Linked DNA regions of Ovis aries. The protein of the gene in region 4 binds, or shares a complex with, the protein of the main gene of each other region. Links are inferred from orthologs where the notes say so. Each region holds a gene or a part of one and is shown on either strand. Other genes may lie near its edges. The genes, in order: BET1L, BNIP1, VTI1B and STX4.

The links.
Region 1: STX4 (region 4) and BET1L share a complex: the UniProt entries of both Homo sapiens proteins name them as parts of the SNARE complex. The link is inferred for Ovis aries from reciprocal best matches to the Homo sapiens genes STX4 and BET1L.
Region 2: STX4 (region 4) and BNIP1 share a complex: the UniProt entries of both Homo sapiens proteins name them as parts of the SNARE complex. The link is inferred for Ovis aries from reciprocal best matches to the Homo sapiens genes STX4 and BNIP1.
Region 3: STX4 (region 4) and VTI1B share a complex: the UniProt entries of both Homo sapiens proteins name them as parts of the SNARE complex. The link is inferred for Ovis aries from reciprocal best matches to the Homo sapiens genes STX4 and VTI1B.

What each region holds. Positions count from the first base shown.
Region 1 is NC_056074.1:47,478,381-47,482,567, reverse strand, and holds the start of BET1L (BET1-like protein), read right to left. Parts: upstream 2,808-4,187; 5' UTR 2,742-2,807; coding exon 2,723-2,741; intron 1,589-2,722; coding exon 1,497-1,588; intron 1,257-1,496; coding exon 1,200-1,256; intron 1,071-1,199; coding exon 903-1,070; 3' UTR 1-902. UniProt on the Homo sapiens protein: Vesicle SNARE required for targeting and fusion of retrograde transport vesicles with the Golgi complex. Required for the integrity of the Golgi complex.
Region 2 is NC_056069.1:5,005,456-5,009,516, forward strand, and holds the start of BNIP1 (vesicle transport protein SEC20), read left to right. Parts: upstream 1-1,232; 5' UTR 1,233-1,241; coding exon 1,242-1,325; intron 1,326-3,485; coding exon 3,486-3,578; intron 3,579-4,061. UniProt on the Homo sapiens protein: As part of a SNARE complex may be involved in endoplasmic reticulum membranes fusion and be required for the maintenance of endoplasmic reticulum organization. Also plays a role in apoptosis.
Region 3 is NC_056060.1:77,616,179-77,620,443, forward strand, and holds the start of VTI1B (vesicle transport through interaction with t-SNAREs homolog 1B), read right to left. Parts: upstream 2,803-4,265; 5' UTR 2,673-2,802; coding exon 2,558-2,672; intron 1-2,557. UniProt on the Homo sapiens protein: V-SNARE that mediates vesicle transport pathways through interactions with t-SNAREs on the target membrane. These interactions are proposed to mediate aspects of the specificity of vesicle trafficking and to promote fusion of the lipid bilayers.
Region 4 is NC_056077.1:27,673,506-27,677,500, forward strand, and holds the start of STX4 (syntaxin-4), read left to right. Parts: upstream 1-1,162; 5' UTR 1,163-1,447; coding exon 1,448-1,477; intron 1,478-1,664; coding exon 1,665-1,766; intron 1,767-1,879; coding exon 1,880-1,979; intron 1,980-2,114; coding exon 2,115-2,189; intron 2,190-2,691; exon of another isoform or gene 2,692-2,916; coding exon 2,917-2,987; exon of another isoform or gene 2,988-3,995. UniProt on the Homo sapiens protein: Plasma membrane t-SNARE that mediates docking of transport vesicles. Necessary for the translocation of SLC2A4 from intracellular vesicles to the plasma membrane.

The DNA.
Region 1 (4,187 bases), on a different chromosome or scaffold from region 4:
TGCCCACAAACCCTCAAAAAGTGCCCTACAGTTCCTAAGAAAAGTCACTATCCAGAAACCTCCCGCGTACACCGACAAAAGCCCCGCCTCACACCGGGCCTGACTCTGAAGCGTCAGACGGACATGTCTCCAGAGGTCTAGTCTCCGGGAAGCAGGCCTCTGGTGCTGGGCAGATCCTGAATCCCGTGAGAACATCGGCTTCTGCTCCTGGACACACGGCTGGGAAACTGCAGGCCTTGGGCCCCAAGTCCTCAGCCTGCGCTGCAGTCCCTTCCTCCACCCACACCCCCTGCCCATCCCCGAGGGCCTGGTTTCAGTCGCGGGACTGGAGGGCAGGAAGAGGCCACTCAGCAGGACCTTTGAATCTCTCCGGGTCATGGATGACCAGCAGCCCTGGCCAGAGAAACTGCAGTCTCCGGGCTGAGGACACTCAGTTGGAGGTGACAGCAGTGATTTGAGCTTCACAGCCACACCCCCTTCCTGTGTCAGCTCCAGGCAGCTCAAACATCAGACACAGCCTCATCCAGACCAAGACAGCGCAGAGAAGCCTTGAGATGCTCAGAACCTCAAGGGCCGATGAAAGGACTGCTGCTCACAGGCGGCCGTGTCCAGGATTCCCAGATGCTCTGCTTGGACCCAACACTGCTGGGGCTTCTAGAGCTCAAGGTGGCAGAGGGAGCTGGGCCTAGGCTACCCCACAGGGATAGGGCCCTTGCACACATAGAACCAGCTAACAAGAGCTCACTGGGTTAGAGGCTCCCAACCACGCAGAAAAAACATTCCTAAGCCATGATCCTCATTTCAAAGGAGTATTTTGAAAACAAGTTCTCTGGAGCCCAAAACACCAGACAGAGGAAAATCCTGGTTGCCCCAGGCACCCACAGAAGCCAGTTCCCATTGGCTCACGTCCTTGCCCTCGACAGGAGGTAGGAGAGGATGAAGAAGGCCACAATCAGGCCCACAGCCATACCACAAAGAAGCTTCCGGTTGTCTCGCCCAGATCGCGCCATTGTGGAAAACCGCTTCACACTCCCTGTGAGTAGACCCGTCATACTTGTGAAATCTGAGTCCTGAGGGAGAAATTCCAACATTGTCACAAAGGGACAGTGACTCTGCAACACACACACACAGATGGGGGCTGCAAAGCAGGTGGTGGGGAGCTGAGCTGACCGTGACGCTTGCAAACCGCAGGCCCTTACCATGCCGTCCAGGTACCGGTTCTGGTCCTCCGCATCCCTATCGATGTCCAGAGCCAGCTGGTCAGGACACAGAGGGGGCAGGGTCAGACCGGGACAAACACAGTGAACAGCACCTGACCCCCAACAAGATCAACAGAGATCAGAAGATCCAAATGCCACCTGGGCCTCGCACAGATGAGTATGCCACAGGTGGGACAAGGAGAACGGAACTACCTGAAACCCATCCAGGTCTTTACTGCCCGCTGACCACCCCCTCCAGATGCCAGGTGGAGGCAAAAGGAGAGGACCACCACTGACCGATTTGAGCCTGGTGACCTTGGAGGCCAAGCTGTCAGCCATCCGCTTGTTTTCTCGGTCTAGAATCTCCTCCACAGCACCAGGGCTCTGAGCTGTGAGGAGAGAGAGAGGCTGAAAGCATGACTCCGCTCATGAACCGTGACCCCTATAATCTCGGCCCTTTGTGGCCTCCGGCCTCCAATCCCATCTGGCCCAGTCAGGCATCTAAGGGGACCCGGCCTCTGTGTGTCTGCTGAGCAGGCCCCACCCTCACCCAGGATCCAACTTCACACATGAGGAGGACTGTATAAACAACAGTGTGAGCACAGGTCCTGTGCATGTATCCAGGCTGGGATGGGTGGGCGGGCACCTCCAAAGGGCTCAGTTCAACCAGTACTTTCAGACATTCTGTGACGGAACTTGTACCATCCCTCCGCAGGTGTCACTAGCAAGGTACACAGAACCTGTTCTCAAAATAAACCCCAATGAGCTCTGGTAAGACTTACAGGGCTTGAGACTGATCCCACACAGGGTCTTGTGTGTCACCCAGAGCCTGGTACCCGCTGAGAACTGGCCCGAGACAGGCGCTGGGCCTGGTGATTCAGAATTACCACCCTACCAGGCTGGTGAGAACTGTTTCCCACAAAGTTCAGAGTGCGCATTTGCCTCGAGCCCGATGCCTCAAGGAGACTCATCAAAAGCGGGCACAGTCTAGGAACCATGGCTTCTTACAAACCCCAAAATAAGAGGTGTAAAGGTCCTACCGACCGACTGTACCCTTAACTCCTTAAAAGTCACAACAGCCCAGCGAAACAAGCATCAGCATCCCACTTCGCAGGTGAAGAGAGACTCCCAGAAGGCAAGTGGGGTACTAGGCATGCTTGGGCCCTCCTATCACGCGCAGCTCTCACTCCGAGGGGGTCTAGCCTCAGGGACCCGTCAACCAGGAGACCCGGCCGAGGTCCCGTGCAGAGTCATCTCCCAGGGACGAAACGGGTGGGGACTGCGGGCATCCGGACCCCGCAGTTTCACGCAGCAGCTGGGCAGGAGCGCCCAAAGGGACCCAGCGACTCATCCACAGCGCGGCGGGCTGCACCCTGGCCGCCCTGCCCAAACTACGCCCGCCCGCAGTGTCTTGCCAACAACGCCACCTAGTGCCGCGGAGAAAGGCGAAGGCGGTTCCTAAGAGCAGCGGAGTCGGCCCCGGCGAGCCCCGTAGCCATCCGCCTCCGCCCTTCCGCGCTCACCCCGAGCCCAGTCCGCCATCGCGTCCAGCTCCGACCCCAGGGTCCGTCACCGCTTGATTACAGCCTCCTCGGACGTGGCGCAGTCGCCGGAAGGGGCTTCCGGCCCCACCCCTTCCGCCTCAGGCCCCCCACTTCCGGCCGAGATCTGGCCGACAGACTCGGCGGTGGGAACGGGAAGAATCTGACGTTTCTTCCGTCGTTTGACTTGGGGATGGGGCTGGCGTTTGCTCTCGGGACTCCTGGATGATTTGTGGTTTTAGAGGCAACTATGGTGCCCACAGACACTCCAGCAGCCATTCCCGCCTAAGGCGGTGTCGGGGTCCTAACTGGGAAGAGCACACGGGCCTTTCCCGGGCCAAAGAGGCTCCTCGCCGCGACCCCGCCGGGGTTGAGGCCCGGAGCGAACTCGATGGGAAGCCCGGTTCCAGTTACTGCCGGCAGGACAAACGAGATCAGTGCCTGGAACGAGCGAGCGGTGCAGAAGTCGCAGGAGTGAAGCCCTCTGAAGAAAACAAGGAACCAGGAAGAGGGGTGGGAGCGTGAGGGGAGTGGGTACGGGAGGAGCCAGCGCTTTTTGACCTTGCACGCGGTGCTGACAAGGGGCCTGACAAAGTAGATGCTTAACAAAGCCTTCTTGCCCGGTGGATGGGTTATAAGTTACCCACCCCCCGTAATGGAGCAATTGCTGTGCCATGTACTCGACAATCCACTGAAATGGAAACTTGTATCGTCTCTGCTTTTCAAAAAAGGAAACAGCCCAAGCAGACGAGCAGGTGTGCCTGCTTACACAGCAGGGAAGTCACCGCACACAGTCAGACTTTGTCTTCCTCCTGACCTTCCCCCCACCCCGACCCCGTCTCTCTTTTCTCTCAGCTCCAACAGTGATGTTTCTCTCTCCCTCCACGGCCATTCCCACCCTCGCACTGGCCACTCCTGCCTTGCAGAACCTTCCTTCGGAGCCTTTCCTGGCTCACTCCCTAGGCTCCGGTCTCAGCAAAAACTGACTGGCACTTCTTCAGATCTCCTTGCAGCCCATCAAGCCCCTTTTGTTATTCAATCACAGCACTATAGCTGCCTAACGTCGTCTTGTTTGCCCGTTTTAGTCTTCACATCCGGCACATAAGCGCCAAGAAGGCAGGAACCTGTGGGTTCTATTCACCCGCATCCCGGCTCCTCGCGTGCAGTAGGCACTCAAACATCTGTTTAGAAACCAAGTGGTCCGGAGGTTGTAAACTCCTTTCCACCTCGACTTTTCCCTGGACGTTTCATTCGTTCTGTGCATCAAGAGCGGTGTTGGTGTGCGTGTGATGGAGGGGTGCGGGGCTGAGGCCCTCTCCTGTCAGGAATCCTAGCCCAAGGAGTGAGGCTCACTGCTCGGTTCAGGGCGATTCTGGCCCATAAGTCGGACGATCACCGAGCCGGAGTTTAAGGCCAAAGCTGACTCGGCAGCAAAGTCTTCAAGTTC
Region 2 (4,061 bases), on a different chromosome or scaffold from region 4:
CCAGTCAATGCTAGGATTGCCGGCAGTGAGCCTCTGAGGAGACTGAGGCACAGAGAGATGAAGTGGGTGGTCAAGCAGGATTCAAGCCAGGGCAGATGCCCAAGATGCGTTGCCCAGCCAGTCTATTAGATGCAGTGGTGTGATGAACGCTTCAAGGGAGGGTGTTCTCTCCAGGACTAGACTTCCAAAAAGAGCTTGAAGAATCCAGGAAGGAGACAGGGCTGGTGGGGTGATTGATGCCCTTGAGATCCAGCTAAGAAACTTGGACTAGTTAATAATAATAATACAATGAAAGAGTCTCCATCTGTTGAGGGTGTGCTCTTAAGTATTTCCATTAAGTAATTTAAGGCTTCCCTGGTGGCTCTAAAGACGGTAAAGAATCTGCAATGTGGGAGACCCAGGTTCAATCCCTGGGTCGGGAAGATCTGCCTGGAAAAGGAAATGGCTACCACTCCAGTATTCTTGCCTGGAAAATCCCATGGGCAGAGGAGGGTTACATCCCTGCCAGGTTACAGTCAGTCCATGGAGTCACAGGACTAAGTGACTCACTTTTGTTTCCATTAAAAACTACATTAATCCGTCAAAACTACTCCAGCAAAGTATATTTATTAAAACCAATTGCACACAAAAGGGAAACGCCAGGAGTCAGAGAAGGGGTGTAAGTTGGAATGTGACTTGATCAGTTGGGCATTTTAGAAAGATCCCTCCAACCGTGGGCTGAACTGACAGGAGTTGTTAACCCTAGCAAACTACCTTGAATTTCATACATTAAAAAAAATAATGATAACATTTGTCATTTTCTTCTTTCACCCTACAACTTATTTTCACTGTAGAAAATATGAAAAATACAAGAAAGTGTAAAGGAGTATAAAAAATTGTTTAACTCCACCTTCCAGAGACATCCCAATGGATATTTTTTTCCAATCTTTTTCCCCTCTCTGTGCAAAAAATATGCAGTCATTAGAATGGCTGATGGGCAGAATATGGGGAGACGCCCCTGTTAAAGCGTCCTGACAATTCCCTCCTTTCTTTCTCTACGTCTTCTAGGTCCACCACAAGAGGCCGACTGATTTTTCCCACGTGTCAGGCAAAGGCCATAGGACTTGGCGCCACCACCCTCGCTCGCCTCAGGCCTGGTCTCTAGGGGGCGCTGCCGTAAGACCCGGAGGCTAAAAAGGAAACCGGTGCGAAAACGCGTTGGAACTTGGGCTCCGCGGCTTCCCGTAGCCGGCATTTCCAACATGGCTGCTGCCCAAGATGTCCACGTCCGTATCTGTAACCAAGAGATTGTCAAATTCGATCTGGAGGTGAAGGCGCTTATCCAGGTACTAATGCCCGGGGTCCCCGCCAGGGTCCAGAAGCCCTAAATCCCAGCTCAGCTGGCCTTCTGTGAGCTCAGCGGCCTTACTCCCGAGCTTTCCGCCCTTGGTCATGTCTCCGAGGCCACTGGCCCAGCTCCCTGCCCGCTACCCCTCAACTGTCTCGCCCCATGGCCCCTCCCCTGGATCGTTGGCTTTGGTATTCCGTCCGACTGCCGTTAGCTCGCCCTCTTCCAGGACACCCCGTCCTCTACCTCCACTCCTAACTGGGCTTCCCCTATGTGGCCGCTCCCCTACACACCCCTGGCCGTCACCTCGCCACCCCCCAGCCAGCCTCAAAACATACCTGTCATCCTGCCTGGCCCCGCCTTCTGATCCCGTCCTCCTCATGCTTCAGTAGCGTCCTGTGGGCCATCAGCCTCGCCCCCTGCTGGTCTGATGCCCCGTGGCACCAAAGGCCACCTGGCACAGGAGGTACTGGGTGAAATGAACGTGACCTAGACCGTAGTTGTGATTTTGTAAATGAGGAAGGAGTCTGCCTGAGCAGAAAGTAGATAATGGCAAAACTGGGACGCGGACAATGAAAGTCATCCTAGAAAAAATTCTTGGCGTCTACTTCGTTTAACTGATGGGGCGATTGAGATCCTTTGCCTAAGCCAATTAAGGGTAGAAGGTAATAGTTCAGTAAACCAGTTGGCATAGGCAAGAGTTGGGAATGTAGAAATAGTTCCTTTAGTTTATCAAAAAGAAACCAAGAGTTTTAAACCTTTCTTTTGGGCAAATGGTTTCCATTTCCAGCAGTGTTACTCAACCTTAGATGCTAAGTAAGAGTCTTCATCTAGCTGTGGTAAAAGGTGAAGGAAAGTAAGCTCCCTACGGAAATCAGGTGCAAAATAAACCAAATTAATAGCCGTTAAATGTTGCATGGAACTGTGATTTAATGAGTAATCCAGAGAACAAGAACAACTTGATACAAACATTTAAACTTTTTGAACTTCACCTTTCCCATGTATTAACTACAAAACATCTGGGCCAATTCTAGAAGAATTAATTTAGGATTCATAAAAAGGAAACTGGCTTTTCAGGTGATCTAAATTTCCTCAGCCCCATTTTGCACTCTCCAAGATTCACTTTCTCCTGAAGAGAACAATTGATTATAGCTAGATTTAGCACATCCTTACAGTGTGGCAACTCCTGCTAAGCCCTTTATGTGGGTACCTGGTTATGAAGTGGGTAATGATGGGTAAACAGACACAGAAGCTTCAGTAACTTTTTCAGGATTATACATCTGATAAATTGCTGCAACTAGAATTTGAATCCACATGGTCTGACTCTAGGGCCTACTTTTTACCTGGCCCTGGTAATTCTGAATGTCCAGAAACAAATTCGAAATCTACATTTGAACATGTCTGTAAACTGTGTGATTTATCATATTAATAGATGGTGTGTAAAATCAGTTCAAGCAGTTAAAGAGGTTCGTCTTGTCATATGCCGAGAATTTAGCATCCTCATTTTTAGGTTGGAAAGACCTGAAGTTATGGTGCCCTCTCAGGTGTTCGTTCTTGTCGGATATGCAAGCTGCTTTAAGTCTTTCATAATGGCTGGATGCTGTTCTGTTAAACATCAAGACTTATTAGTTCCTTAGTCCGTTTCTGGTTTTAAAAACGTGTTTATTAATTAATTTTTGGTTGCACTGAGTCTTCGCTGCTGCGCATGGGCTTTCGCTGACCGCACAAGCAGGGGCTACTCTTTGTTGCAGCGCATGCGCTTCTCATTGCTGCAGCTTCTCTTGTTCCGGAGCACAGGCTCTAGGCCCCGCAGGGCTTCGGTAGTTGCAGAGGCAGGCTCCGCAGCTGTGGTGTGCGGGCTTAGTTGCTCCGCAGCATCGGATTTCCTATCCACTGTACCACCAGGGAAGTCGCACTGTTGTCTTTCTGCTTATGCTTCTATGTTGCTCGCTCAGACTTGACTCCAAAGAGGGATGAAAAAAAAGTAAATTATAATGCTTCTGCTTGTGTTACAGAGGTAAACAGCAGAGATTAGGATGAATTACAGCCAGTAGGTCCAACTTAGTTGTGGTCTAAGCCAGCTCTCTCATTGTACAGCTGGTGTCATTTCCTCTCATTGCCTTGAGAAAGGCCCGTTCATCTCTTCAATGTCTCCTAGGATATTCGAGATTGTTCAGGACCATTAAGTGCACTTACCGAACTGAACACTAAAGTGAAAGAGAAGTTTCAGCAACTGCGGCACAGAATACAGGTGAGTGAGTGCGCAGCTGGGACGCTGCGCCTGGGGAAAGAAAAGAAAGTGCATTGGAGAGGTTTTGCATTGTGTTAAGTTAATGATTTGTTTAAAATCTAGATTCTTTAATGGAGCGTAAACTCAATGACAGCAGGCCTGTTCCTGGTGATCGCTGCGTATCCCTCATGATGGTACAGATTGAGCACCATCGTTGAGTGGAAGAATGGGTGTGTGGGAAGAAGGGAGGGAGGGAGGCAAGGTGGGGGAAATGGAAGTTCTGTCACAGAGAAGCAGAGAGAGTTCTAGAGGAAAAGAAAGTGAGGGCTGCTGCCCCTCACTGAGGTGGGTGGCTGTGTCCTGGGGTTTGATTATTTGGGGCTCTGAGTCTTTCTTTTCAGAAGGCCTTACCTGTGGGGCTTTCGTGCGACCTGGGTTGAATGTCTCTTCAGAGGTTTTTGCATTTGCTTTTGCCAGGTCTCCTGGGATTACCACAGGTCTGGG
Region 3 (4,265 bases), on a different chromosome or scaffold from region 4:
CTCCTACACACATCTTGTTTCAGTCACAGTTCTGAATATTTGACTTTTCTTTTCCCCTTCCTTTGTTGTCTCTTCTCACTTCCCCTCTCAGGCAAATTCCCACTCAACCCTTTACACTCAGAAGTTCTCCTTTCTGAGAAGCTTTCCTCTCACTCCCCTACGGCCATGTTAGCCTTCCTGTCACGGTCTCAAAACTATCTTAGGACTCATCACACACTTTGGAAATCTCCCATTTAAGGCAAGAACTCACAGAACTCCCCAGACCCAGGATATTGAGTGATTCATAATTCTTGATAGATGTTTATTGAAAATACTGAATTCAATTACAGAGCATAAGCTAAATGCAAGGGATGTGTTATGTATTAATGTATTATTCAGTGACTATATTATTCAGTGCCTAATAATTCATGATAGGAAAGCTTTGGAAAGCCTATGAAGTCGTCTTAGTACAAGAAAAAAAGGATTCAGAGATGACACCCCAGTATGTTTGCTTAATTAAATCCAACTTATTCAACAAATATTTATTGAGGAATATAAACAAAGCAGTGAATAAAGGGACTGAAGGCTGTTGAAATTCTTATAACCTGAGGATATGCAAATACTATATAATACTTACCCACTGAACAACTAAGTGTTACCAGCAACTTGTGTGGAGACTATTTTGTACCTGGGTAGAAATTCACACCTTTTTGATTGTCCTCAGGTAGATGACAAAAGTGAATACAACTAAGTTTTCTATTTTTGGAAACAGAATGTCCTTTGGCATTATTTAGCCTTCCCTGATAGCTCAGTTGGTAAAGAAGTCGCCTACAATGCAGGAGACCAAGTGCAATGCAGGAGACAGGGGTTTCAATCCCTGGGTTGGGAAGATCCCCTGGAGAAGGAAATGGCAACCCACTCCAATCTGGGAAACGCCATGGACAGAGGAGTCCGGTGGGCTACAGTCCATGCGGTTGGAAAGAGTCAGACACGACCTAGCAACTAAACCACAACCACACCCTTACAAAAACAAATCTTGCAAAATTTAAATCAACACCAGGTGAAAAAAATGATCTATTTTTCAACCATGTAAATCAGATCCAATCACTCTCCTGTTCTGTAGCCTTTAACTTCAAGTCACTGTATTTAGATAAAGATGCAAATCTTTCACCAGGGTTCACGTGGCCCCACACAATCTGGCCCTTTAAAACCTTATCTATTACTATTATTTCCTTTGCTCATTCCACCCTAAACACACTGGCCCTTTAGTTCTTCCTAGAGCATACCAAGCTCACTTCTGCTTAAGGACTATTGCAGTACTATTCTGGAGAAGGAAATGGCAACCCACTCCAGTCTTCTTGCCTGGAGAATCCCAGGGATGGGGAAGCCTGCTGGGCTGCCGTCTATGGGGTTGCATAGAGTTGGGCACGACTGAAGTGACTTAGCAGCAGCAGCAGTACTAGTCTGTCCTCCTGAAACTTATTTCTCCCAAATTTTTGCATGGTTCAGTCCCTTACTTCAAGTCTCTGCTCAAACGTTACCTCCTCAAAGAGGCCTTTCATAGCCATCCAATTTACAATTAGAGCTTCCCCATTCCTTGCCCTGCTTTATTTTCCTGTATGGCCCTTAACACCACTTCCAAATATTTATATCATCATCGACCCATAAGAACAGAGGTCTCTAAGTCTTTTCACAGCAATTTGCAATATTACCAGCATCTACACAGTGCCGAGTGCACAGCAGCCTCTCTTAATAACTATATGTTAAACAAAAGTATGAGTTTCATTCTCATCAGAGTCATTCAATTCATGTGACCTTAGGTAACAGAGCAAACACTCAAGCTTCCACGCTTCAGGAAAAGCAATGAAAGTCTCATCGGCCTTGCCATCAAGATCTACTTGTTTTAAGGCAAAGAACTATGATAGACCTTCCTATACAGATTCAATCAAAAAATTCTTAGCTCCCCCAAGACAAGCTTGCAGCACACTGCATTATGAAATCAAGGGGCAGGAAGGTCTAAGCAGAGGTCATAAAAGGATCGCACCTGAAGGCCACCATCCTCATTTTAAAGACCAATCCCTCCCCCAACCCCTACCCGCCCCCAAGACTGGTTATTTACACCAGCCTCCAAAGTTATGATGGCTTTGGGTTTTTAACCCTTTTTGTGCTACAGGTCCTTTGCCAATCTGGTGAAAACTATGGGCCTCTTTGGAGAACACTTTCAAGCGCGGAAAACAAAGTACTGAGAGCCACAAAGAAAACCAATTATACTCAGTTTACAGATTTAAGGGTCACAGGTATAAGGTCTCTCATGCCCATCTTGCCACAGTGAAAATGAAACGAGCGAACTCTGAAGGCAACAGGGGATTCAAGAGAGAGATGACACTCCGTGGTGGACCCCTGGGTACCTAAGTGTCAGCACGGAGATTCTGGACGCCGGGACTCAGCCAGGCCTAGGGGGCGTGCCTGAGGACGCCAAGCGAGAGACGGGAGGGTGGGTCTGGAAAGGAGGTGGGGGTTCTTCCTCCCGGTGCTAGCGGAGCGCTGTTCCCGTTGTCTCATCCCGCCCCCACCTCACCTGTCCCTGCCATCCCCAGGAGCCGCTCCGGCACCCCTCGTAGGTCTTCATGGAGGCCGCGGAAGATCTCGTGCAGTTTCTCGAAATGCTCCGAGGAGGCGGCGGAGGTGGCCATGGCGCAGGCCGCTCTCGAGCAGCGGGCGCCGAGATTCTGGGCCCAGGGCCCGCTCCTACTCCGCCGTCAGCCGCCCAGCCCCTCAGGCATCACGGCGACCGCCGCCACAGTCCCCCGACGAGGCGCTTCCGGGGCCGCGGCGGGGTCCTCCCGGGCCGGAACGCCCATCCCCTGCTTGCCGTCACTGACGGCGCGCCGGGCGTCAAAGCCTGACAGAAAGTTAGTCTGGCTCCGTTGCCCGGGAGACTTCTGAAGGGGCGGTGGCGCTTTGGCGCGAGCGGCAGTCTCGGAACCCCAGAAATACTCAGTCCGAGGCTGTAGGGAGGCCGGATGGCGGAAGGAAAACATGGGCACCCGCGGGCCGGCCGACGCGGGCGCCTCTTTCCTGGGCCCCGCCTTCCGGCAAGGATTGGGGGGGGGGGCTCTGCAGTGCATGCCGGGGGTTGTAGTTCGGCACGAAAGACGCTCCGACTCGGAAGTCACGAGTTGCCGGGGGCGGTGGTCCTGCTGTAACCGCGGCCGCCGGCGTGACCGCGATGCGCAGCGGTTAGGGTATCAGTTGGCACCTGGCCGTCGTCGTCATTATCATCGCACTGTGACTATCCTGATTTCCTCAGTTCACATTCCGGCTGTTAGCTTTCAGTTCTCAGAAGATAGTAGGACCAGGTGCCTGCCTGCCCCCGAGTTGAAAGCACTTTTATTGGGGAGCAGGTGACTGGAGTGACATGCTTTCAGGAGTGGCCCCCGGACAGCAGTGCGACCCCTCAAATATGCGCTCAGCCTCTTATTTGGGCTGAGCTCATATATCGGCTTGCTCATGCAGTCATTCACTCAGCAGGTGTTTGTCAATTTAACCATAGCCTTTATGCTGGGTTCTGGGCATGTGTTGGTGAATAAAAGATTCATCGCTTGGATAACTTATAATGTAGTGAGCAAGACAGACCTGGCTTCACCATTAAGTGTAATGTGTTAACGATTACAAAGCCTTTTCCTGCACTCTGTGGGTTCCCATGGTTAGTGGGAGAAAGTTCCTATTTCCGTTGATTACATGGTTTGCCTATGGAGTTCATTCTGAAATGTTTCCTTGGCAGCCCAATACTGAAGACTGCCCACACATTAAGATACATTTGACTGTTCGGGGGAAATGATTTGGTGATGTATATACCTCCTGGGCCCTTATTTTTATTAGACTGAGTTCATTGGCCTTTGATTCAACAAACATTTGTTGAGCTCTTTGTGTAGCCAAGTCTGCAGTTGTTAGTAGCAGTGTACTGTGATAAGTCCCAAGAAAGTGAAAAGTGTCAGTCGCTCAGTTGTATCCAGCTCTTTGTGACTCCATGGACTGCAGCCTGCCAGGCTCTTCTGTCCAGGGGATTTCCTAGGCAAGAATACTGGAGTGGGTAGCCATTCTCTTCTCCAGGGGAATATTCTTGACCCAGGGATGGAACCCAAGTCTTCTGCACTGCAGGCGGATTCTTTATCACTGAGACACCAGTATTCATTGAGCATTCAGAGATAGCAAAGTCTGGGATTGTTAGTAGTAGTGAATAGCATTGTGTTACAGAAAAGGCAGGTACAAAAAGGAAAGATTAT
Region 4 (3,995 bases):
GTGCTGGGGTTCCTAGTTGGTTCAGTGGTAAAGAATCTGTCTGCCAGTGAAGAAGACACAAGAGATGCTGGTTCGATCCTTGGGTTGGGAAGATCCCCTGGAGGAGGAAATGGCAACCCGCTCTGGTATTCTTGCCTGGAAAATTGTATGGGCAGAGGAGCCTGGTGGGCTACAATTTGTGTGTGTTAGTCACTTAGTCGTGTCCGACTCTTTTGTGACCCCATGGACTGTAACCCTCCAGGCTCCTCTGTCCACAATCATGCCCTCACTTTAGTAACTCACAGGCCACGATAATATGTAATATTTTTGTGGGTTCCAGAGGGTAGACCCCCAGTGCAAGGTGGGGGTCTGGGGAGGGGGTTGTCTAAGTGACATGCTGCTCAATGTAACAGACTTTTTTCTAAGCCCGAGCTGCCCTGAAATGCCCTGCTCAAAGGTGGTGAGTGCAGCGGGACTGCAGTGTTCAAGCCGGGCGCCAGCCAGCCGCCCACCTGTCAGAAACTGTGCCAGGAGTATGCGGGAGAAGAGAGTTCCGCCTCGGGTGAGGTCACTTCCCACCCCCAGATGCTCTGCCTACAAAATCTCGCAAGTCTCTGACGCTGTATTTTATTCTTTTCTGAATTTCAAGGTCTCATGATGTTGACAGCTCCAAATTCTAAGTCCTCAGTCTGCCCACACTCGCGGACCCAAAAGAAAGGAAGCCGGATTCAGCCTGGGTCCTACCACCCACTGTCTCTGGGGGTAGTCAGCGCCCCCTCCCCGCCTCGCGGGGGTTCTGAAGAGAGGTAACTCGCGCGCGGGGTGCCGAGGACGTCGTGGGGAGATGGGTGTTCCAGAGATGGAGTTGACAGGGCAGAGACATGTGACAGTCGAAGCGTCACGTTCCGTGGTCTGAGAGGTTGGGACCAGGCCGGTCACATGACGCGCGCGGGGGGGTTTGCACTATGGGGTGATGCGAATTGAGAGGGCCTCACAGATCACGTACCAATGACGCATTCCCACCCCTTTTGGCAACTAGATTTCCGCTGGAAGATGCGATAGTTCCGGCAAAGGGGGCGGGTTCTCACGTCCTGGCAATTTCGCTTCCGTTCGGGGCGCTGAAGCTTCCGACCTCGGCCTTTCCCTGGGGTGGGGAAGGGACGCGATCCGGTGCGCATGCTCCAGTCTTTCCAGAGGGGGCGGGGCTGAGGCTACAGGAGAGGGCGGGGGGAAAGAAAAGGGAATTCCAACCTGTGGAATCTTGGGGGTCCCCGAGGTCGGCTCCTTCCCTTTGAAACTGTGAATGGTGCCAGGGACAGAGCCTCTAGCGACTCTTGGGGGAGGGTTTGGGGCCTGCAGGGTGAGGGCGGAGGGGAGTGTCAGAGTGTGAGTTGGGTACGGGAGTTCCAAACTTAGAATCTTGAGGCCCGCCGGGCTCCGGCGCCGGCGAGAGGGATCTCGGGCCGCCATGCGGGACAGGACCCACGAGCTGAGGCAGGTGAGAATTTGGCGCAGCAGGGTTGGGGACGGGTGGACGGGATGGGGTCTACTGGAATGCAGGACTCCTGGTCCTCGGGGCCGGGAGGGATGACTGTGGGCTAGGAAGGAAAGTCCCGGAAGCCCGTGAGTTCTACTGGGGGAGAGCAGTAGCAAGGAAGTGATGCCAGTGACCCCGGCCCTGGCAGGGGGATGACAGCTCGGACGATGAAGACAAGGAGCGAGTCGCGCTGGTGGTACACCCGGGTACTGCACGGCTGGGGAGCCCGGACGATGAGTTCTTCCAGAAGGTAAGAGGCTGGAGTCTCGGCCTGGATTCACGAGGGGCCTGGAGGGCCCGAGGAGCAGAGCAGCCTGGAGCAGCGCCCACATCTCCCTCAGCCCTCTCGGTCATCGTCCCCAGGTTCGGACAATTCGGCAGACTATCGTCAAGCTAGAGAATAAAGTCCGAGAGTTGGAGAAGCAGCAGGTCACCATCCTGGCCACGCCCCTTCCCGAGGAGAGTGAGTGAAACCCCGGGTGCAGAACGCATGCTCAGCTGGAGGCTTGTGGGGGTTGTAGTTCCACACAGGTGGTGGCCAGGGAGATTTGTTGAGGTAGAGGTTGCTATTTGGGCATCATGGCTTTCTCTTGTTTAGGCATGAAGCAGGACCTGCAGAACCTGCGTGACGAGATCAAACAGCTAGGGAGGGACATCCGCGCGCAGCTGAAGGGTGAGCTCCTAGGACTTTAGCCAGATACTTTCCTCTGATCCTGCCCAACTCCTGGTATTTCTGGGCAGTGTGTGGTCCAGAGAGGCCAGTGATATATATCCAGGTCACACAGCAGGCCAACGTCTAGAATCTCCATCTCCTGGCTTTCGGTCCAAAGTTCTTTCCACAGCATATGCCTGCCTCTCAAGTTCCCTTATTTATAATGAAACCATGTCCATTTGATCTTTGTCCAAGGCAGAGGTTAGCGTTGCTACCTCCACCTTCAGGTCGTTATCTGCATATAACTGTATAGTCTGCCGTCCACATCCCAGGTTCTGCAAGGGTGGATTCATGCAGTCATGGATTGTGTAGTACTGTAGTATGCATTTATTTTCTAAAAATTCAGGTATAAGTGGACCCACAGTTGTGCAAGGATCATCTGTACTCCTACAATTCTTGCTGCCCAGTGTGTATTCTTTGGGTGGGAAGATGTGGGTTTTGTTAGGAAGCTTCTCCAAACATGTGGGAATTCTCTGATGTATTTATTGCAAAGAAAAATATACTTTTGCCTGTCAGAGGCTCAAGAGTAGTCATTTATGATGAATTTTATTTCAAAAAAAAAGCTCTGTGGAGATATTGTATCTCTCTCTATTGTATGGCTGCATGGCTGGGTCCCAGTCCCCAAATGAATTTCAGAAGCCAGAGGTCAAACCCCCTCCTCTACCAATACTTCTGTGTCTTTCCACAGCCATAGAGCCCCAGAAGGAGGAAGCTGATGAGAATTATAACTCCGTCAACACAAGAATGAGAAAAACCCAGGTGGGTTCATTATTCCCAGAAGTAGGACATTTCAGCAAGTGTTCAATAGATCATTAGATGGCAGATGTAAGAAGGCAGGGCTCTTAGAGATCATTAAATCCAACCTGATGATTTTCCAAATGAGGAAACTGAGGCTCAGAGATAAAAAAGGATTTACCCCAAGGTCAAGAACCCGGGTTTCCTGACTTCCAATCTGTTATAACACCTTGCCTTCTTCTCCTCCATTCAGTGAGAAGTTGCTGAGACCCCAGACATGATCTGGGCTTGGTTGTAGGAGATATACTTTCTAGAAGCCAAGATGGGGAGTTAAGCTTGCATAGATGACAAAGACATTACTCAGGTAGGACTTGGTAGTTAATGGCTCTGCCCAGGGAAAAAAAGGGTGCAGTCAAGTGACTGGGTGGTTTCCTACCCATGTGATGAGGACATCCTCTGCCCCAAGGACAGAATTCAAGTCAGGAAGAGGAACTTCCCTGGTGTGTGTGTATGGGGAAGGTCACTGAATCATCATCTTAATAAGGAGATTTGAAATGGTCTGAGCAGTGTCCTCTGGGTGCCCAGAGAGGCATGGTTTGGAGTTCTTGGAGGTCAGAGTTGGAGTAGGTGGGCCCAGAAATCAGCAAAGACCCCAGATTGAAGATTAAACAATTTGGGGATTTTTTTTTTAATGGAAGAGAAGGAAAGAGTAGTTTTATTACTTTGCCAAACAAAGGGGGGAACACAGTAGGCTAGTGCCTCAAGAACTGCCCCCCCACAATTTGGGCATCTTGAAAGGGTGCAACTGAACCCAGGACAGCAGATGTGTCCTGGAGAAAGGAACTCCAAGGAATGAGCAGATTTTAGGCATCAGGAAAATGGACAAGCAGGGAAGGCATTTACAGGGGGTGGGGGGCTTGTGGTAGTCATTGTGTGAGAGGCTGAGTGCCCAGGTGGGCCTGCAAAATCTGGGAAATGCAAAATCCTGGCACACCTTTAGTCTAAGCAGGGAGGCTGGTGTTCAGCAAGCAT